Linked DNA regions of Rhinolophus ferrumequinum. The protein of the gene in region 3 interacts with the protein of the main gene of each other region in a biochemical or structural test. Links are inferred from orthologs where the notes say so. Each region holds a gene or a part of one and is shown on either strand. Other genes may lie near its edges.

The links.
Region 1: of the proteins of CCND1 (region 3) and CRYAB, one has a biochemical effect on the other in vitro, tested with the Homo sapiens proteins (2 studies listed by BioGRID, with this or other methods). The link is inferred for Rhinolophus ferrumequinum from reciprocal best matches to the Homo sapiens genes CCND1 and CRYAB.
Region 2: the proteins of CCND1 (region 3) and CDK6 form a complex in vitro, tested with the Homo sapiens proteins (3 studies listed by BioGRID and IntAct, with this or other methods). The link is inferred for Rhinolophus ferrumequinum from reciprocal best matches to the Homo sapiens genes CCND1 and CDK6.

The regions. Positions count from the first base shown.
Region 1 is NC_046294.1:80,288,693-80,296,689, reverse strand, and holds the start of CRYAB (alpha-crystallin B chain), read left to right. Parts: upstream 1-4,973; 5' UTR 4,974-5,181; coding exon 5,182-5,382; intron 5,383-6,233; exon of another isoform or gene 6,234-6,437; coding exon of another isoform or gene 6,438-6,440; intron 6,441-6,515; coding exon 6,516-6,638; intron 6,639-7,916; coding exon 7,917-7,997. Other genes in the region: HSPB2 (heat shock protein beta-2), read right to left, coding at 3,097-3,551, 4,035-4,128. UniProt on the Homo sapiens protein: May contribute to the transparency and refractive index of the lens. Has chaperone-like activity, preventing aggregation of various proteins under a wide range of stress conditions.
Region 2 is NC_046303.1:33,410,689-33,418,046, forward strand, and holds the start of CDK6 (cyclin-dependent kinase 6), read left to right. Parts: upstream 1-4,317; 5' UTR 4,318-5,699; intron 5,700-6,246; exon of another isoform or gene 6,247-6,311; intron 6,312-6,380; exon of another isoform or gene 6,381-6,776; intron 6,777-7,036; exon of another isoform or gene 7,037-7,186; intron 7,187-7,358. UniProt on the Homo sapiens protein: Serine/threonine-protein kinase involved in the control of the cell cycle and differentiation; promotes G1/S transition. Phosphorylates pRB/RB1 and NPM1.
Region 3 is NC_046294.1:3,500,955-3,508,061, forward strand, and holds the start of CCND1 (G1/S-specific cyclin-D1), read right to left. Parts: upstream 3,019-7,107; 5' UTR 2,804-3,018; coding exon 2,606-2,803; intron 1,085-2,605; coding exon 869-1,084; intron 370-868; coding exon 210-369; intron 1-209. UniProt on the Homo sapiens protein: Regulatory component of the cyclin D1-CDK4 (DC) complex that phosphorylates and inhibits members of the retinoblastoma (RB) protein family including RB1 and regulates the cell-cycle during G(1)/S transition.

The DNA.
Region 1 (7,997 bases), about 77 Mb from region 3:
AAGGCAATCAGTATCAATTTCTTATTATCTCTGTCCAGAATCTGGGTTTGAATACCGGAGTCTCTTGGAAACTTAAATTTAGGGAAATGTATTCCTTTTATATTCTTTCTCCCTTGCTTTTGGAATTAACTTGGGCAAATCCCTTTTTTCTAGGACTGTGAAATGGAGTGCTGAACCTATTACCTAATCCCCTTTCTGGTCAAAAATCATAGGACTCTATGATTGGAATGGCCTCAGTACTTCTTAACCACTCACTTCCCCATTTTCAGTACAGAATTACAGAATCTCCATTTAAACCTCAACTCAGCTTCTCCTTCCAATGACCCGAACTTACACTCATTCCACGTTTACCAGCAACTAGGATGCAGTCAAGCAAATTCCTCTGTAGAAAATAATGGGCTCTAGAAGAATTTGTAAAACCCGTAATTCTTGTCTCCTATCCTCCCACCCCCATCTTTAGTGTCTTGCTCCAATGCCCAGTTATTTGTGTGCTCTTTATGGGTATTCAAGACCCACCACTCAGCCCTGCACTCCACAGAGAATGCCCTGGACTCTTCACTCCTCTCCATCTTCTTTCCTTATGAAAAATGGGGACAGTAGGAGTGACAGCCATACAGAATTGTGGTGAAGATTATATGAGATAATGTGCCAGTCCAGGGTCTGACACATGGGGAGCTCTCAGTAAGCCCTAGCTATTGTTATTATTATTACTTCTTATTCTCAGCAAATTGTCAGATGGTAAAGCATCTTGCTTTAGTATCTTGTGCTAGGTCATTGCACCAGCCTTATTTTGTAGTCATGCTTCTGCCCGGCAATCCATTCTGTACTCTACTATTAACTGTATCCTTTTCATCCTATTACCTGAGCTTCTTAGCCTGGCACTCAAAGCCCTCCGCATCTGGTCCCTTTCCAGACAATTTCTCTAATTTAAAGGAGAAATGTAAAGGAAAACACCTAAGAGATTTTATATGGCCAGAAACTCCAAAAGAACCAACAGTGTGTAGCGGTTGGTTCCAGAAAATGTGATACACTTAAAACAGCACTAATAGAAGTCTAGAGTGATAAACAAGGGTATTGATTACTTCACCAAAGGCTGTACCAGTCAGTCGTGGAATAATAATTTTAGGTCTACATGTTGGATTTCAGATTGTGTTGTCAAAAGGCAGTGTGTTCAAGAGAGAGTTGTCTGGGTAATAATTGTTATGGAATGTCCTGTAAAATATGGGTAAAAGAATTAGGTATGTTTAGTTGGGGAAGGGAAGCCTTAGGAGGATAGGATGGTTATCTTTAAGTCCTTCAGATGAAGAACCTCAAGTGAAAGAAGAATTGCATTTATTTTCTGGACATAACCAAAACCAATGGGCAGATGTTACTGAAATGCAGATTTTGGTTTAATAGAAGGAAGAATTTATAACAGATTTGACTAAAAGGAAAATGAAGTAGGCTACTTTATGAAGTTTTTAGTTCTATGTCACTCAAAATGTCCCAGAAGTTCACTAATAATCTTGAAACAATTTGAACAGGGTGGGGATTTGAACTAAATCAAAGGTCTCAATTTTTTTTCTAGCTAAGGAACCCTTTCTTTTAAGTAAAGCTTATGTAAAAATCCCAGTTACAAAACAGATCAATGTGAAACTGTTCTGATTGAAGTCTGAATAGGATCCTTTTATTACTTTTTTTCTTCTCAGCTAGGTACTAATATTCCCGAGAGAAAACAATAAAAGACCATAGTTTTTATAGTTTATACTTACAATGTGTATCCCCTATAGTGTATATTACTTGGGTTTAACAAATATTTGTTGAGCGAACAAATGGATATATCAACAGTTATTTCTCTGAAGCATGCTCTCATTTTAAATTGACGGAAATCCTTTAATCAAGTGAGGGTTCTTACCCTGGGGGGTCCACAGATCCCTAAGAGGGGTATATGAATGGATCTTAAGAGCTGTATGAACCTATTCAAATTGTGTGCCAAATTTGGGAGCATATGTATTTTTCTGGTAAGAGGATCTATCGCTTTTGTCAGATTTTCAAATGGGTCTATAACCCAACAAAGCTAAGAATCCACCACTTTAATGGAAGAATTTCAGATGTCCACCACAGCCTCATAAAATATATATTTTGGGGCAGGGAGGTCCGGGTCCTCTCCAAATCATACACATGCCTGCTCTCTTGATCACAGAGAGTAATTGAGGGGTCAGATACCCAGGGTCTCTTGCACACATCATACCTTTCGTGATAAGACTCCACTTCCAAAGGATGCTGCCCTGGCCATCACCAACAGCCCTTGTTTCCCTTGCATTTAGCCTGGAATGACCATGTGTGGGGTAGTGATGCAGTGGTTCCTCTCTTGGTATGTTCCAAGATAGGAGGCAAATTTCTGTCATGGGCCTCCCCTGTGCGGAGGATAGTGGTTTGGTGATAATGGCAGAGATTTCTGCGTCTGTACCCTTGTGTATACATACTTGGTCCTTCAGAATCAGAGACCATTTTCAGTGGACAGACCTCAGGATGGGAAAACAGGGCTGTAGGCAATCCTCTCCAGCCAAAACCTGCTTTCCCAACCCCTACCCCAAATAAGCCAGACAGTCTGGAGACCCTTGTTTTTGTGTTTCTAATCACCAGCTCAGACAGTGCCCTCTGGGCTGTTTGGATGGCATATCCCTTTTCCCTCCCAGGATCACTCTCTCTTTTGTTGCATTGTGAGAAAATTATGGCTAGGAATTTAATCTGGAGCCAGTGTTAGCTTCTGGGTGTGACCTCAGCATCCAAGTGCGAGCTCAGGGTTCTGTAGTGCTGGGTACACCTAACTGAGGAGCATTTTCTCTAGATGGCTATGAGACCTCTTCCCTCCCTGCCCACCCCCTCCTCCAGGCCACAGAATAGGGAGCGGCACAAACAAGGCCCTGAGATTTGGGTTTATTCAGCTCCACCCAGAACTAAACCAAAGACTAGGACATGTCCCAAGGGACCAAACCATACATTGTGGCCCATGCACTTTTCCATTCCCCCAAGGATGCTGCTGCCTCTCCGGTGGTGGCAGCTGCTCATATCATTGCACGAGGGAGAAAGTGCTGGGTGCTGGGTCTGTGGCACTCAGGGCTCAACTCTGGCTGCCTCCTCCTCTTCCTCCGGATCAGGAGGTGCAGGGAGCAAGGAGATATAGACCTCATTGACCTCAGTGTCCAAATGTCGGCCACCCCGAGGCGCCTCCAGGTTAAGGATGCCATCATGCGAGAGAGCAGCACGGACCCGCCAGGGGTCAACATCAGCAGGCAGGACATAGGTGCGGCAGAACTCTCGGGACACGAAGCCGTGGCGGTCCAGGCGCTGGGGGTGCCGGGCAGACACCTCCAGCAAGTTGTCCACAGTCCTCACGGTCACCTCATCTGGGGTAAAGTGGCTCACGTCCAGAAATGCCTGGAACTTGCCCTCACTGAGCCTGAGCTCGGAGGCCCCTGCCCTGCTGCCCTCCCCAGCTCTGGTGGCCCGGGGCCGGACATAGTAGCCATGGTAGAGGGTGGGGGTCAGGATCTCTTCTGGTAGGAGGCCTGAGGGGCAGAGAAAGAGAAGGCAAGAGGCAGGATGAGGGAGCATGAGGTAGGAACGGGGTGAAATGAGAGATGAGGACTGGGGAGAGCAGGAGGGGAGTCAGAAGTAGGTAAGGGGAGAGGGTGGGGGACACAGCGACTAGAAGGAGGCAACGGGGAGAAGGGATTGAGAAAGGAAATGAGATGGGGGCAGAGGAGGGCAAACCAAAGCAGAACTGGGTAAACAGAAGGGGAACAAGAGGCATCCTTAGGGGGGCAGGGGGCAGGTGTCAGAGCACTGCTCTTACCACCTCTACTCTGAGGTCAGTAGAAAGGGAAAAGAGCCCTGCTTGGAGGGAGTGAGGGGGGAGCTGGGGTGGGAGATGGCTCGCCCCAGGAGTTCAGTTAAGCCCGGAGTGGGGTGGAGGCCAGCACCGTTGGGAGGTCAGCCCAGAATTTCAGGCGGTGGGGGTGGGAGGCAAGGAAGTGGCGGCTGTGCCATACCTTCTCCGAAGCGCTGCTCACCCAGGCGGCTCGGGTTGGCAAACTCGTACTCGGCGGTGGCTGGGTGGGCATGTGGCACCGAGCGGCCCGACATGGTTGCAGACGTGTCAGAGGCCCCGGTCCGAGGTGCACCGAGACCCCACCAGCTGCCTGGAGAGCCAGGGCTCGGTCCGAGGTGGGGGCGGGGTCTACACCACCCAAAATAGTGTCGAGCCTCGAGCCTCGGGGAGGGGCGGGCAGCGGGGCCCTGAGCGCCAGCCAAGAGTGTGTGACCAGCGCTGCCTGGACCCCCGCCCCCTCCCCTGCACACCCTTCAGCTGTCGCAGGGGACTCCAGAGGACAGCTGGGGGTCCTGGCTGGGGAGCGAGCTGGGGAGCGGTGGCTAGCATTAGAGGCCCTAGAGAGGCCTCGCTGAGACCCTCACAGTTTGCACATTGTCCACGCCACCTTTTCTCCTCCTCAGTCGCACCCCACTTCATAAAGCTCTCCTGGATTTAATGTTCTGCCAGCCTTATAAGGTGAAAGAGGAACACTTTTCTTCCTTCTCTTTGGGGTGGGGTGAGGGCTCTTCCTGCCCAGATTAATGTCAGGGTCCTTACCTGAACCCACATCAACTTTGAGCACCACACAGATGCCTGCCACAGACATGTTGGTGATCACTGCTCTCCTCCAGGGACCCACAAAGAGTTAATGTCTCTGGGGCCCAGCCAAGGAAGATTCCAGTTCCTGCCCAGGCCCAAGATAGTTGCTGGCTGGATTCCCCTGGCTCCCTAGGCTGGAGAGGAGGAGGGGCACACCTCCTGCCTGCTTGGGATTCTTGACTCTGTCCCAGTCAAGGGGGGCGGGAGGGACGGGGTGGGGGGGATAGGGTGTGGGCAGAAAGCTAGTGAAACAAGTCCAGGGCAAGTCACTGGACAGCTCAGACGTGTTTGTATTTCTCTTTTCTTAGCTCAGTGAGTACTGGGTATGTGTCACACTGCCAAATCTCCGATCACAAGTCTCTATGAACGGGTGGTGAGCTAGGATAATAAAACCCCTGACATCACCGTTCCAGAAGCTTCACAAGACTGCATATATAAAGCGCTGGTTGTAGCTGCAGCTGAAGGAGCTGACCAGCCAGCTGACCCCCAGCAGTCAAAAAGCCACCATGGATATTGCCATTCACCACCCCTGGATCCGACGCCCCTTCTTTCCTTTCCACTCCCCCAGCCGCCTCTTTGACCAGTTCTTTGGAGAGCACCTGTTGGAGTCTGATTTCTTCCCACCTTCTACTTCCCTGAGCCCTTTCTACTTTCGGCTGCCCTCATTCCTGCGGGCACCCAGCTGGGTTGACACTGGGCTCTCAGAGGTAAGTCTCCCCTCTGTAGGACAGGAGAGTTCTTCCTGAACCTTCTGGAAAAATGTCTGTCTGCTCTACTTCTCCTGTCTGTCTAAATCTGGCTATGTCTAAGTGTCCTAAATCTCTTACGCAATTGCGTGTCCTGCAGCGAAGAAAGATGAGGTTACTAGTTCCTCTGTCTCTCCCCCAGTCACCTGTTTGTCTTTGATGCTTCTCTATATCCTACTTACTACATCTTTCCCATGTGCTAGGAAGATCATCCATACCCTAACTTCTAAGAAGGATGCCCCTTTCTGGTTTTGTTCATAAGTATCTACAGGGAAAGAGCTGCCTTCAAACTCCTTTGCTCACCATTTCTAATACCTCATACTCCTGACAAATTTTATCATCTTAAGTTTCAGACCAGGAGACAGCCCTACCTCATTGTGAGTTTGTCATCCCCACTGAATGGAGCTGGAGACAGCAACCGCTATTTTCTTCCTTCTTACTCCCTCTTCTGTGATTTTCTGAGTTTCTCAGGGCTGTGACAGGGCACTGGCCTGGGTCTAAGCCTAAGGAGGAAAGATGTAGGTCCAGTCTTAGGACCCCCACTTGTCCTAAGAGGGCGAGAGAATGGAGTGAACATACAAGGTGGACAGAAGCCGTCACAGATAACACTCTAGTTTAAAAATATTCAAGTGTGAATAAATAGGAGCTGAGTGGGCAAGGGCTTTGGAAAGACAATCATGGCCAGCACAACATTCCAGATTGAGTGGGTGGGAAACTTGGCAGAGACCTGAGCAAGAAGAAGAGGCCTTTGTCTAACAGACAAATGACAAGGCCAGGCATTGGGGTCAGAGAGGCAGTAGAAGCCAGGCCCAGACCCATCCTTGTGATTATTCCCCCTGGGTGGCCTGTTGTCTTCCCTGTCCCTGTAAATAAAGTTTGATCCTGATGACCAAGTGCTGTGCCTTGGGTACCACTGTGGTGGCTCCCCTAAACCAGAGAATCATGTTTATTTAAAAAGGAATTTTTTTGCCAAAAAGAGGAGACTAAATTACCTGCCTAGAAAGCAAGTCAGCAGAATGGTAAGACTGCACTACTTATCCACATTCCTACCATATTTTTCTCCTACCCCCTCCTCTCCACCTTACTATTTCTAGATGCGTCTGGAGAAGGACAGATTCTCTGTCAACCTGGATGTGAAGCACTTCTCCCCAGAGGAACTCAAGGTCAAGGTGCTGGGAGATGTGATTGAGGTGCACGGCAAACATGAAGAGCGCCAGGTATGCAGCTTGTTTTCTCTACTGTTCATTCATTCAGGGCATACTATATACATACCATCAGCCTTTGAGGCTGGCAACATTTCAGTCCTAAACCATTAGGGTCTGGAACAGGGATAGACCTGGCGTTGTTGTTGTTGTTTTGGCCAGAGACATGATCCGTTGTTTGTTTTGATTTGATTGCCTTAGATAGGACAAATGGGCTTCCCATTTAAGCCAGTGGTCCGAAACCTTAGCCACGTTAGAATCACAAAGGGAATTGTAAAAAATTCCAGTGCTCTGGTTTATCTCAGACCAATTAAATCAGAATTTTTAGGGATGGAACCTAGGCATCAACATTTTTATAAAGCTCCCTAGGTAATTCTAATGTACAGTCAAGGATGAAGACCGCTGACTTAGGCATAGTGCTTGTCCGACACCTGGTTGCTTTTCATAATTACATTAACTGCATGTACCCCGAAGGCTCTTGAGTTTGGGACTTTTCTTTTAGATGTTCAGGAATCCTTTTCTGTTTAGCCCTTCTTAGTCCTGAACTACACGGTCTGCCTAAGTTTCAGAGCTGTACTCAGCTCCTAATACTGTAGAGCCCATGTAGAAATCAGTTAATTAAGAGCCTGTCTGGATAAATGCTTGAGATTCAGCAGATATAAGGGTTAGGGTCCACTGCTCTTTAGCAGAATACTCAAGGATGGAATAACTTCTCATCACTTTCTGGGAGGGTTTTTTGATGGGTTTGCTTCTTACCAATTGGTGATAACTGAGAACCTTATTCATCAAACAGTACAGTTTTAGTCCCTCCGCCTGTTTCTGTTTTGTGTGTATGATTTTAGTTTGGGTCAGAGTCTCCCTGGATGGAGTCTTTTTTTTTTTTTTTTTTTTTTCCCCTAATGGTAGCAGTCCTATTGGCCTGGAACATTCTGGGACCTTCCCTGAAGAGTCAAGACAATTTCTAAGCTTCCTTAGGGATTCAGATCTTCAATGCCGGATGATATTCCAAATCCTGTAGGCCCAACAAACATAGATCTAATCCTCTGGGAAATACATCTAAACATATCCATGCCTCCGGGTTATGAAGTTTTGCCTGTTTCAGACTTCTCAGATTCTCATTGGTAGGAGTGACCACCTAGGCAGCTTCTTCTTCGTCCCAAAAAGGACAGCTTTTTTTCATGTTGCCACAGTATTGGTCATTCCTAAGGGGAAGGAGGATGTTTGAGTTCTAAGCAAGTGGTGCTATTTTCCTGTTCTTATCTCTCTGCCTCTTTCCTTGTTCTCTTGGATTAGGATGAACATGGTTTCATCTCCCGGGAGTTCCACAGGAAATACCGGATTCCAGCGGATGTGGACCCTCTAGCCATTACTTCG
Region 2 (7,358 bases), on a different chromosome or scaffold from region 3:
TGGGCTATATAGTATTTAATTTACCTCAGAGTTTAGTATTTGCTCTTTTTAAAGAAAAATCATTTAGTTGAAATTTTCGGGGATAGGAAGTGGAGAAAATTATCTAAACACGTTTTTTTTCAGATGAGATTTGAGAATTTGTCTTTCCGGCAAATTTAGAAATTCATCCAAACATATTTTCTTTTAGACAAAAATTTTTTCAATAACTAATACCTGCAACACAAGAGAAAATATAACAAATCCACACAAAGTAGCAGGATGACCTATTTGTTGTTTTTTTTGTTTGTTTTTTTCCCATGTAAGCAAATTGGAACACCGTTCTCAACTTTTCAGATGTTATTCTAGTGATGTCACATTATTCTGTTCTGTGTCTGCTTGACTCAGTAACACTCATGGAGAGAAACAGGACCCTCTGCTGCCTTTACTGACCACCTACTATGGCCACATGGCATACATAGCATTGTCACAGGGAGCAAGGCACTGTGGACGCCCTTGGGGGAGCTCAGGGTGGTGGGTAGCAGAGCATCAAGCTTTTAGGAAGGCTAAAGAGAGCAGATGACTTCAAGGAGTTAGAGCAAAGAGGAATGCCTTTCTGCTGAGGGAATCGAGGTTTTAGGAGGAGCTCGGCCTTGAAATGATAGGATTTAGAAGGCTGAAGGGAAAGGGAACTGCAGGTAGAGAAGACACGTTTCTGCGGTACTGAAATCAGCACACTGATCCTAAACCTTTGCTGGGATTATATTAAACATTACTTTAACATGACCCCTTCAAGGAAATTGAAAGAAGTAGTCCCAAAGAAGACGGACAATAAGGTACAAAGCCAATTTTCCCATTGACAAACAGTTATTGGACATAAAATACTTGACAGCTGCTGTGCTAGATACTGGATATAAGAAGTTATGAGTAACTTGGAACAAGTTTATAGTAGGGTTTAAAAATTGGACCCTCTCTTCAATTTATGGTAAAATGTTTGATCCACGGAGCTATTCTATTATCTACTTTCTTCTAGGCATTTAAAGAATTCTGCAATATATACCATATTTCCCCGAAAATAAGGCTTAGACGAACCATCAGCTCTAATGCATCTTTTGGAGCAAAAATTAATATAAGACCCGGTCTTATTTTACTATTATATAAGACCAGGTCTTGTATGACAACATAACATAACATAACATAACATAACATAACATAACATACATAACATAACATAATACCGGGTCTTATATTAATTTTCGCTCCAAAAGAGAGCATTACAGCTGATGGTCCGGCTAGGACTTATTTTCGGGGAAACACAGTAGATGATGTATTACAGAGTTGTACACCTGATATCTATGTAACTTTACTAACAATTGTCACCCCAATAAAATTTAATTTAAAAAAAAGAATTCTGCAAAGAATTCCATTATGTGTATTTTCAGGGAAAATCCATTATGAGACAACATAAAATAGTTACATGTATATGGATGCATACATTATACAATCGCATTCAGTAAGATAGATTTCATTTCATAATAGGATAGACATAGAATGCTGTTCATTCTGAAAGATTCAAGTTGCCTAGATACGCCATACGTAGAGCACTGGGGAACATCTCTTGGCCCGAGACATTAACATGTGCTTTCTTCACTTTTACCTGCTGCCAGGCCATTAATAGAAGTTTGTCCCAGGTGCCTTTCTTTGTACTTCCTCCCACCCTCCCAGATCCCACTTTATCATCATTCATGCCCACTGTGTTGTACCTCTACTACTTCATCTGAATGATCTATCTAAAACATGTACATATGTTTTAAGGTCAACCAAAGGCAACTATGGCAACACAATTGTTAGGCCATGTGTGCAGCTGAGATGCAAGTATTTATTATCTTAGAAAAGAAATGTTAGAAGTCAGTAAAAAAAATTACAGGACATTCTAAATGTAGAGGAAATGTAGATATTTCCATGTGATTATCACTAACTTTTATAAGTGTATTTCCATAGTTATTCTTCTGATTACTCAGAATTCTAATATAGATAATGAAAGGATCTTAAGAACACATTTCAAACATGTCACAATAGCCAAGAACATATTCACACACATGTACACACACACAAAGGAAAAAAGAAGATGTAAGTGTCTGTCAAAAGGCAAAAAAATAGGAAAGATGATGACAATTATACAAATATGAACATAGTACTGACATGTAGCCCAGGGATAATTATAGAGCTGTAGAATCCATAAAAACGGAATGTTCCAAAAGATAATAATGTCTGTTTTTTTTCCCTTAAATTTTATAAGCTACTACCCCATATATTTTTTTCCCTCACAGCAAGAATCAAAATCTTTTCAAGTTTCACTGCTCAAATGCAATGCACTAGATCACATGCAAAAACAAAACCAAAAAAGCCCAGGTCATTTCCAAATTGATGCCAAGTAATTTATTTAGAAGATTGAACTTAAAAAGTCATTTCAAGTTCATAATTTTACAGTTGCAAAAGTTGGTAATACAATTGATTTTTCCTAGAATATTAGCAAATTTTCAATGTTACATTTTAAGGGAAAACCCAAGAAAACACCTTGGAAATGCCTGGGGAAAAAAAAGAATGCATTAAAATGCACTGAATTATAAATTGCTATTTCTGTTAAAATTATAGTTTTTCGTGGTAATTACTTAACAAAGTATATTTACATAGACATAAAAATCAAGTTTAAAACAAGGGTAACTGATTTCACAGTTATTAAACCAGAAAAGGTTTTTTATCAAAACAACAAACAGGAGAGATTTATAGACAAAAAGTATACATTTACATGGACCTCCAATTAAAACTATTATGTAGTAGATTAAGCAAAATCTCACTTCTGAATTTCTGGGAAATGTATTTTATAAATTCAAATAGCTAATATAAGTCAGAGATCACTTAGAATTAGATGTACATTAATTATATAATTACTAATTTTAAATAAATTACTCATTTCTTAAATGAGGTTATAAATTATAGACCATAATTAAAGAGATTTTTTTATTTTAGTGAAAACAAAAATTTACAGATATATGATATAAAATATTCACACATGGAATATATCTTTTCTGTGACACTTAAGAAAACTTTCAGTGTAAGCTACAACATCATATTTGGAGATAAATCCATGAGTTCTAATTTTTAAAAACCTGTAAGATGATTTGCAACTTTAGAATATCTGATGTGTGGTGTGAAAATACTGGTGCAAATCATTATTTATTCTTAAATGCTATGTTTTCATTCATCGAAGATTCCTAAACAAAAGAGTCGGAATTTGGTTCACAGTTTATAAACTTTGCACAGATTTTGTTATGATAACCTGTTATCCACAGAGGAAGTTGTCCATAAACAAAAACAATCTGGTATTTGCTAATTTTATAAAATCCATTGTAAAACTTCCTGGTCTGAAGATTTAAGCAACCAGGTATCAATGTGAACCATAACCAGGGAGAGTGAACAATGATAAATTAACAATATCAAAGAAAGCAGATGATATAAAGAGAGTTAACACTCAGTATTAACATATGTAATGAAAGTTTCATTGTTTTTTACATTGCCTAAGTGATCTAGTAACCTAAATTATGGAATTTCTAATTCACCTATGGTTGTTGTCAAATTAAGTAATTAAAAATGCAATGCAGTATAGAAAAGACATTTTTCTGTTAATTTTAAAGATATTTACAGCTTAATATTTTTTAAACAAATTATGTACTCAAATAAATTTTTACAATCATTTACTGGGTCCTCTGACTATTGATTGACAATTATTTCTGAATTACATAAATGTGTTGATTACCAGCAAATAAATCTTGTTTTAAGATTTTAAAAGCATTGATAAGTGTAATTATTAAAATGGAGGATTGTCATTTGTGTCTTGGGTTTAAAGTCTAATTCATGATTTGTAGTGATCCAATATTTTATATAAATACAAAATCCAACAATTTGCTTTCTTAAGTCTAGAAGATATATGAGATCATAGATATCTTTACAAGTACAAATTTTGTTCTGAAATTGGATTTTATTTTAGAAGACATGCCCCTAAACACAAAATGTATTTTATGAATTATATTAAGCACACAGAAACACAATTCTTCACTTTCATTATTTAAGAAAAAATTATTAGAATACATTGCAAAATATTTGCTAATGGAAATGCAACAATTTTTAGTTACTTAACCTGCCACTTCACACTGTAGTATAGAAATCAATTTTATAAAGGCAAAATTTTGATCTAGTGTGAAATTAGCAACATGGTTTAGTTCAAAAAGTCAAAAGATTTATAGAGGTAATATTTCCAATTTAAACAGAATTTTGCTGGGTTTTAATTTTTCCACAGAGCACTGAAATAATTTTTTTTAGCTTGGGTTTAAGATGTTAAAATGGTTTCAAGTATTCTACAGATACAGATTTTTGGACAAAACTGAATTCTTTCCAAAAAACAGTTAATTTTAAGTTTTGTTTTACCCTATGGTAAAAACTCTTGGAAACTTTTTTTTCCTTCCAAAATCTCATTTTCACCTGAAATAATTGTATTCAGGTTTTCTCAGCAGGTAAAGTATAAATTCTTACAAGGTTTCAAATTTCAGAATTCCAATAATGCATTTAAACTGAGCACCCACCGAATCACTTTCTCTTCTCTTTGTGTGTGTCTATTATCTTGCTGTTCTGTTATTTACACTGAATTTTAGTCTTTTTAGCTCCCCAAACCCTCAGCAGTTGCTAACCACTTAATAATTGTGAACCCGCCAGCCCCTTCAAGTAGATCGTTAACCACAAGAGTGCCTGACAATTTCCAAATCATATCCTCTGTCCAAAAGGAAAAGATAGGGCTTTGTGAGGCCGAAAGGAAGCGAAGGAAAACAAAACAAATGTAGCTCATGTAGAAAGTGAAAAGTGCTTGGACAGATTAGTATTTTCTGCAAGGCGTCCTGCCAAACTTTTTTTTTTTAATAGAGAAAAGTTATTTTTCGGTCTGATTTCTCAGTTTCTTGGAAAGTGTGGGTATTTACCATCCCCACCGGCCTCTCATAATTATTGTTGGTTGTTTTGTGTTTTTCCCATCCGTCCACATCACAGACTGCTGATACCCCCGCCTCACTCTGTCAAAACCCCAACTGTGGGCGACCCTGGGTTTGGAAACTCTGCCGACTCCCGACGTCTCATCCCACTCTCCCTCTCACGCCTCTTGTTTTAGTCGCAAGAACCCCCACTCCAATCGCAGTGAAAGCCGGAAATTTTCATTTAACTCCCCCACCTCCGACTCGCCCCCCAGTTGGAGCCGAGAGCTGGGGAGCTGGGAGGCTCAGAGCACAGCCGGGTCTCGGCCGCCTCCCCTGTCTCCGGAAGGCTTTAATTTGCACACTTGCTTGCTACTGCACCGCGAGTCCCCAACCCCGCCGCAGGGTGGGTCTCGAGCAGAGTAGGTCTCCCGGGCCTCCGCCCCCGCCCCTTGCTGCCTCCCCGGCTCTGCCCCGAGCCTCGGCCAGAGCCCCGCGGCCGTACTGTCTCCCAGCGAACCGTGCGGGCGGCGCCCTCCGCGGTCCCTCCGCCCTCCGCCGCTGTGCCCACCCCCTTGCGGGAGAGAGAGCTGGTGACTCCTTCCTCCAACCGGGTTACCTTCTCCGCGCCGCGCTGGACACGTGCGGACATCAGACTGACACTTGCAGCCCCCTCCGGAGGCTGGACGAGGCCAGGCCCCTCAGGTGAGGAGCTGTGCACTCGGGTGGGTGGGCTGCGGGGTGGGGGGTCCCCGGGGAGATTGGGGGGCTTGGCTAGGGTCGGAAGCGAGGGTGTAGGTGTGGGTAGACTATTGTGGGGTATGTCCTCGGAATCCGCGTAGGTTAACCCCTTACGAACCGAGGCGGGGCAGTTACGGGGGCCAGTGTGGGGGAGCTAAAGGAGTTTTTCCTAATCTGGCAAGAGGACATACCACACTAGGGACACCCCCAACACAGAGATCCTGAGCCTGCTCCCTCACAACCTGCGCACAACCACCTACTTAAGCAAGCACTCCTTATCCAGTTTCTTCAAACAGAATTTAAACTCCACTCGGACACTCACACAGTGATCCACATTTAGGGTTGAAAATGGGGGGACTTAGTGCGGGAGATCGTGTTTCCGTGCCCCATCTTGATTTCCCCACGAGAGCTCCCTCTCCAGCTCGCTGAGATGTGGGTGTGGGTGTGGGCTCCACCTTCCCACCACGAGATACGAGATAAGTGTTAACGCAGGCTCCTTGCTGGCAACCCCTGCGGGCATGTTATGCACACTTAGAAGAGTGCACGCAGGCTGCCAGTGCCCAGGTTTGGAGCCCGGTAAGGACTCACGTTTGCTTTAGTTTCCCAGTTTACTTTTATAATTTAAAATATCGGAGTTAAAACACACCCCGCAGTGAGCAGCTCCCGCCCCACAGCGCGCCGGCCAGTGTGCACGTGGGCGCATCTGCGTGTGCGCACACGCGGGAGCCCTGGTCGCCGGTGCGGCCTCTTGTCGCTGCGCTGGTGGCGACCCTTGCGGTGCTTGGCAGGCTTCGGGAGAGGCACATGAAGCATTTCATTGAGTGTGAAGACAGAGAGCAGAGACAGAAAGCAGAAGGAGGCGGCTGTAGTCTTTGTAGTCGCAGAGGAATGCGGAAATGTTGAAGCACTATGTCAAACTTTTTTGAAATGGGGTCAAGTCACATTCAGCCAGCGTGGGAAAGCAACAACAACAACAACAAAAAAAAGTGAAGGGTGGGGGGAAGGCACTGCTGCTCCCGTTTCTCTCCGCCGGAGCCGAAGGTCGCGGGAGCGAGGGGGGAGAGCCTGGGCGGGCTGTGCGGGGCCGGGCGGGGGCAGCGGGCGCAGTTCCCTGCGGGGGTGGGACGTCGGCGACGTTTCCTTCGCTGCAGAGCCTGGGGCTGGAGGGGAGGAGGGGCGCGGGTACGCCGACGGGGCTGCGCTACTGGCGGTGGCTCCTCCGCTACCTGTGTGGCCCTCGGCCTGGCTCAGACCCCCCGGGCAGGCTCTGGGGGCTCGTTCTTCGGCCCCCGCCTGGATTCACCTTCACCTTTTAAGGAGAGTTTTGAATGGATTGAGTGTGAGGGTGTCTGTCCTCGCTGTGGTCCCTTCCGCCCTCACACCGTGAGGGTCGCGCCATTTGTTTCTTTAATTCCTGGAAGAAGGCGAGCGGGCCAGCGGTTATGGGGCAGGTAATTCCGAAGTGCCCCGGGAATTCCGGACACGCGGCCGGCGTGGCTAACGTCCCGCCGAGGCCGCGGGGCGGCCGTGGGTTGGCGGATTCCTGGGTCCTAGATTGCAAATGAATGGGGAGGGAAGGTGACCCCCAACCCCGCAGTTTGTTGTGCTGTGGGCTGGAGGGGG
Region 3 (7,107 bases):
GACAAGCCAGCCTCCAGATCCTGGGAAGACAACACCAACCTCCATTAGCCCAACCAACAACCTGAGACTTCTGTTCAAGAGAACCAGGAAAGGGGAGAGCTTCGGAGAGCAGGAGGAGTCTGCGGACCATCTGCTCAGATGGGGAAACTGAGGTAGAGGGCAAGAAGCTCTGCCAGGGAGGCCAGGCCAGCAGGGCCCAGTCACCCTACCTGTGGCACAGAGGGCAACGAAGGTCTGAGCATGTTTGCGGATGATCTGTTTGTTCTCCTCTGCCACCGGCATTTTGGAGAGGAAGTGTTCAATGAAATCGTGCGGGGTCATGGCGGCCAAGTTCCACTTGAGTTTGTTCACCAGCAGCAGCTCCATTTGCTGTGGAAATGGGGCGAACAAACATAAAGAGAGGTGCAGGGGCAGCTGCTGGAGGGGCTCGAGTGGGAGAGGGGCCTGGAGAGAAAGGATGGGGGTGTTGGGGGTCCAGCAAGTTGGGGAAAACATGCTATCCCAGATCAAAAAATTGAAGGAGCCACTTGTAAAGGTTCCTGCTTGTTATTAAACACTTCACAAGCGGAGACAAAAAAAGACCTCCAGCACATGGAACGCACGCAAAGCCTTGTCCGCGCCGCCGCCGCTAGAGGGCGCGCGCCGCCCACTTTTCGGAGGTACTAGGGACCGAGCCACAGTGGGAATCCCAGCGAAAGTGGGGCGGGGGTCCCGCCAGGTCCTCGGGAGGGGCCCGGGCAGTTTGGCCTCCCGCCCTCGGGGCACAAGGTCTGTGGGAGGCCGGCCGGGTACCCCCTGCCCTCTGCACTTTCCCCACCCGCACTCCGGGGTCCTTTGGCTAAGAGGGCTGCGGCGGGCAGCGGGTTACCAGCAGCTCGTCGGGCCGGATGGAGTTGTCAGTGTAGATGCACAACTTCTCGGCCGTCAGGGGGATGGTCTCTTTCATCTTCGAGGCTACGAACATGCAGGTGGCCCCCAGCAGCTGCAGGCGGCTCTTTTTCACCGGCTCCAGTGAGAGGAAGCGGTCCAGGTAGTTCATGGCCAACGGGAAGACCTCCTCCTCGCACTTCTGCTCCTCGCAGACCTGCCGGGACACCCGGGTCGTGACCGCCGCCGCCGGGCCCCTCCGCGGGACCCCGCGCCCCCCATCCCGCTCGCGCTCGCGCCACGGGTCTCAGAACACGGAGGGTCGGGCAGGGGGTGGCAGACGCTTGCAGTGATGCATCCCCTCCCTTAAGTATCCCTAGTACCCACCCATCCCGAAACTGAAAGGGAAAGTCCCCGCGCGGCTGGCACGGTGGGGGCGGCAGCGGGCATGGCTGGCCGGCATGCGCCGCGCGCGGGCTGCCGGCCCTGGGGACCCCGGCCCCAGTGGGTGCTCTGGGGCCCGCCTGGCCCATGGTCGCACCAAATGGGGTGCGGGGACGCGGGGCTGGGCGCCGCGCTCGCGGCGCCTGCGAGACACAAAGGTGGCGTCCCAGGCCGCCGCGCCGCATTTCCCCAGACGTCATCTTTTCAAAAAATATTTAAAAATATAAAAAAAATAACTGGGTACATAAAAAAAACCTGAAAATGACCCTCGAGCGGCCCTTTACCCAGGCCGGGGGTCGGGAGCTCGTTGCAGGCTCGGTGGAGAGCCCCAGGAATTCAAACTCAGGGGCCCCCCTTCCCCTTGGGCGCGGGCGCCGTTTCACTCTCGCAAGGGCACCACGCCGCACTTCAAAAAAATTATTTAAAAATACTTGCGGGCCCCCCAGGCGCCCACTGAAAGCCCGAAAATGTAACTCTAGCCCCCGGCTCGATATAGACAGGTCCTCCAAACCGAGACCCCTGCAGACGAGGGTCAATACCAGCGTGTTGGGGGCCACGCGACCTTGCAGCCCGGCGTGCTCTCCGGCCAAGGCTGGCGGTGCAGGGAGCCCCGGGACTCGCTGTTTGAACAAAGGGCCCCCACTTCCCGAGTGGGGTCCCCCCCAAACTGCCCGCGCTCGGTCCCCGCGCCCCTCCCGCCGGTTCCCGGCGACCGCGCGGCCCCTTGCCGCGGCCCCAGCGCCTCGCCTGGCGCTCCCCGCCCCCACCCTGCCCCCAATTATTAATAAACACTTTTGCTTTGCAATAAAAGAACAAAGATGGCGCATAATACTGGCACGAGCGGCCCTTGCATACGTGTCCATGGATATTCATTTAAAAATCAAATATATGCCCCCTCCCTCTGGAGCTGGCGGCTCCGCGGCTGGGAGAGGAGGCGCAGCGGACTCAGGCGCAGGCGGGGGCTGCGCGGTGGCGGCCCAGGCGGGGGCCCAAAAGGGCGCCCAGCCCGCCGGCCCGCACCCTCGAGCTAATTAGGGTGCGTCTGGTACTGCCTTTCCCCGCAGGGACCCCCTCCCCCCCGACCAGGAAAGGGAATTGCTAATGCCCCCAACTCTGTCCTTGTTCAAAAAACACCCACAGTATCTATATATTTTGAAAATACGATTCCTAGCTACACCCCCGGCAAACTTCAAAGTTAGGGTGGAAGAAAAGGGAGCAAGATGAGCCGCAAAGAAATGGGAGTGTGGGTAACAAGTTGCAGGCAAGTCTTAAGAGAGCCGCCCAAGCCCCGCACCTCTAGCATCCAGGTGGCCACAATCTTCCGCATGGACGGCAGGATCTCCTTCTGCACACACTTGAAGTACGACACGGAGGGCGCGCAGGTCTCCTCCGCCTTGAGCATGGCCCGCAGCACCCGGTCGTTAAGGAGGTTGGCATCGGGGTATGCCCGGCGGATGGTCTCCACCTCGCAGCACAGGAGCTGGTGTGCCATGGCTGTGGCTCTGCTAGGCGGCCTGGGGCTGGCGGTGGGTCGGGGGCTCGGTCCGCGCTCGGCTCTAGCTCTTGCGCTCCCTCGAGCTCTTCTGCTCCTCGCCCGAGCGCGCGGACGCTGCTGTTCGCTGCTACAGCGCCGACAGCCCTCTGGAGGCTCCAGGACTTTGCAACTTCCAACAAAACTCCCCTGTAGCCCGTGTGACGTTACTGTTGTTCAGCAGAGATCAAAGCCGGGCAGAGAATGGGAGGGGGGGGCGGGGGCGGGGGCGGGCTCAGTAGGAGGGGGCGCGGGCGCCGAGCGCCAGGGAGCTGCGAGGGCCCCGCCGCGGAGTTGCCCCCGAAGCCCAGTTTTCATAGAAATGCAAATCACCCCGAGGCAGCCTTTCTCCCCGCCGGAGAAGAGGGGTGCAGGGGGGCCTGTTTTCCCGGAGTGGGTCCCCCGGGATTTGGGGGGTGGGGTGGAGGTGGCTCTGCAGAGGGGGACAACTAGGAGGGCGGGCAGGCCACACGCAGCCGGGGGGAGACCGCATGGAGGGGGTACTGTGGGGCTTGGCGGCACCCTATATCGGAGCCGGGAGAATGGGCGCATTTCCGAGAACGCCACGAGGGCACCCACGGGCGGAGAGGCGGCCAAGGAATCTCAGCGTCTACATCTTCTTTCATTTTCATTAACACGTGTAAATTTCAGGAACCATTGAACACTCAGGGACGCCGGGCAGAGCCCAGAACCCTGCTGGAGGCTTCATGCCGGCGCACAGGGGGGTCGTTGTAAATGCCCAGGGGAGTAACCCTAAACGTTTAAGAGATTTCAGCCTAGCATGTTCTCGCTCAAAAAATAAAATAAAATAAATGCCCGAAAATTCCAGCAGCAGCCCAAGATGGTGGCCAGCATTTCCTTCATCCTGTCCTCCTCGCCTGGGGATCTGCAGGCTGTCTTCCTACCTTGGCCAGTCCATCCTTGTGGGGTCCCCAAATCCCAACCCACCCCTCCCGGTAATTTACTTACTAGAAAAACACCCTGAATGGAGGGCAGCAAGACAGTGGTCTCTGTCCTGTCTCATTTTAACATTAAAAAGTACATTAAATCGCTTAAAGTTATTAGTCGCCGCTCTGCCAGGGACAAGACCACCGGAAGCTTCCTAATTGGTTCTGTTGGAGGTGTGACATCTTTTCACCTTAAGAATCTGCCCTGGGGCTGCGTTCGTGAGCCTGATGGGGATGGCAGGGGTGACAAAAATTAGAACAATTGTTAAGTTAAAGAAATGGGTGTATTGATCTGATGATTTTAGCAAAACCTATATATGTTCGTGGTTATACGGCAGGGTCCCCAATATTATTGCAAAGTTAAGAGACATATAAAAGAACACATAAATTGTTTTATTAGATTGTCTTTCTGGTGCTTTTTTAAAAAACAAAAGGACATTTTTCCGCTACCGTAACATTTTTTTTACACTACCTTCCCTAAATTAAGAAATTTGTTCATATACTTCCCTCTGAATAGTTTACTGTCATCAAATCACCGTATCCCCTCACCATAAAGGCTCCAAGAAGACGGACAAAAAAGACCCCTCCCTTTCTCAAGGGCGCACGCACCAAGGCAAGACACCCCCTCTTTCAGGGCTGATTCTTCCCGTGCTCTATTCCCGGTTGGGAATTAGGATTTCTAATATTCCAGATCCAGGAGGGTAATTACCCTCGGTTTACGCCTCGGAAGCCGTGGGTGGCCCCAGTAGGGAGCACCCACCGCCGTGTCCCCCTCCCCGGGCAACTATGCTCACTTTGGCCCCGTGCACGCCGGAGCCTCGCAGCATCAGCCTGCGCACGAGGGCCGCCGGGTTGCTTTTTCATTCATAAAATCCCGACCCGGCGGCCGCCCCGATGATTTATGGGGCTTCGCGCTATCACCCGGCGGCTGATGTCCCGGGGGTCTACGGGGCCCGAGCCCCGCGTGCGCCCCTGCCGGGATGGGGCGGGTAGGCGACAGCGAGGGGCAGCGGGGCATAAAGAGGCTCGCCCACTCCGGCAAAACGGGCTCCCGGTCCTGGACGGAGCTTCCCCCCAACCCGGGAGAAAGGCAGAGGAAACTGGAATTAGCATGAGCCAATGGGGGCCCGGCGTTGTTACTAGGCGGACCGGGCAGATCTCAACGAGGAACTTCGATGACTTCCCCGCTCAGGGACGGGCGCAAAAGTGCAAGCCCGGCCAGTGAGCGTGAAGAGCCGTCCAGGAACCCGCGGGGGAGGCGCTGGAATTTGGGGCCCCGCGGGGAGCGCTGGCTGCCCAGCCCCCACCCAGGATCCCAGATCTGTGTTCCCCGGAGCCCGCGAGAGGGGCAACAGCCCCAGGTCCTTGAGGACTGCTGTTTCTTGGAGAACAGAGGATGCGTTTTGATATTAATTTTTTTCCAAAGAGAAAAGCAACTTTTGAAAACTTTTATGTTGCAGTTTTAATTTTGCACTGCTTTTTAAAAACCCACCACGAAGCAGGAACTCCGAATTCTGGGCTCATTTAAAGTGCTCTGAGCTTATTTCTTGGTGACCATTTAGAGACAAAGGGCCGGCAGATCAATCGGGAGGGAAACCACGTTGGTTGGAAAGGAAATCCAAAAGTAACTAAATCACCTTCTTGCTTTCCTGGGCCCCTGGCCCCCCACCGGGGTGACCCTGGCTGGGGAGATTCGTCGGCCCCGAGAGGGCAAATTCCGCAGCAGGCGCGTTTGCCACCGTCCCTGGCTGTGGGAACCTTCATTCAAGGCGGGGGAAGGGAGCGCGTTCATTCAGGAACCCGCGCGCCGCGGCGCGGATTCTGGGATGCACCGCGGCTGCGCGCCGCCCCGCGGGAGGAGGGGGGGCTCTGAGGAGGGGGTGCAGGGCTTAATGGGGCTCTTCCACGGGTGTCGACCTCCCGCCTTCCCCAGAGAGGACGGGGCTGGGGACGAGCGGACGCACCCAGGTGGGGTCACCTGCAGCCGCATACCTGCCGGTGACTTGAAAGGACTTGGCTCCAGCTTCGCGAGTTTTCCGCTGTTAAGCCCTTAAGTCGCCCTGGGAAACACTTCCGAATGAGGGCCACGGGGTTCCGGGGGCGCTTCGGGCTCCCCTTCCCCCACACTACACGCTTTGGGGGCGCGCATGGCGGCCCACGTGCTGCGGTAGCTCCGCCCTGGCTACGTGGTGCGGATCCCTGGCGCCCCAAAGCTGCGGCCTCTGGCCCTGGAGCCCACCCGGCACAGGCACAGCTGGGCGCAGAGGCAGCCGCACCATCCACCGCTCCAAGCTCATGGAGGTGCGTTTCTGCCTCTGATCAATTCATTTCAGCCACACACAGACTACCCGAGCCCCAGTAGTCGGTCCGGCAGTCTGCGGGGTCCGGACACCCCTCCCCCAGCTCTGAACTCGGACGAGGTGTGCGTGGGAGTTAAAAAGCAAACCCCAACAGGTGTGTGGGGGGCTGGCTCCTGCCTCTGGGATCCCGAGGGAAAACGTGCACTTTTGGGGGTGAAAGAATATTCTAACTCCTTGACCTCCGTCCCTCAAAACGCAGCGCTTGATGTCCTGGGTAACATGAAACCCCAAGTCCACTAGGAATTTCCTGGCCTCTTGGCTCAGGTCTCTGGGCGGTCGTTGCCCAAGTATCGCGGAGTGGGTGCCCAGATTGAGAAGATAACCACCTTCAACTAAGGCAGATCGGGCGGGAGATGGGGGTGGAGACCTAGGAGGCCATGTCCTTCCCGCGTCTTCCGTGCCCAAGCAGGGCCGCGGCTCACCCGAGGCTGAGCAGACCCCCGCCCCGAACGAGGGCGCAGGGCTCCGCTGTGGAGACTCGCGTGGCCTAGGAAACGTGTGGCTTGTGGGAGCGGGAACTTCCGGGAGAAGGACCAGCTCTAAGACCCTCGTCGTCTCCCGCGGCGCCCCCACCGCTCCCCACTCCCGGGAAGGACGTGAGGCCCCTTCCCTCGCCTCTAGGACTTGTCGCTCTGCCCCCATCCCCTCCCCTTTTCGGAGAATGTCTGCGGGGAGGACCCCGCATCCTCCTGTCTTTCAGTCAGTTTCGTTCTGCCCTTGAAACGCCCGAGTTCCTATCATTCGCCATAGCCCTGGTGGTGGATGGAAGGGCGGCTGCGGGGGGGGGGGTCTTGATTATGGGGATCCTCCCAATTTGGGGGCTGTGGACACTTGCCAGGAGGGACGGGGAAAGACATTTTTTTCAGGTGCGAGGCGAAGGTTTGCATACCTAACTCTGCACCCTTCCCCTGGGGTCCCGCGGTCTCAAGCCGTCGGGGCTGGTGGCGGGGCACGGGTT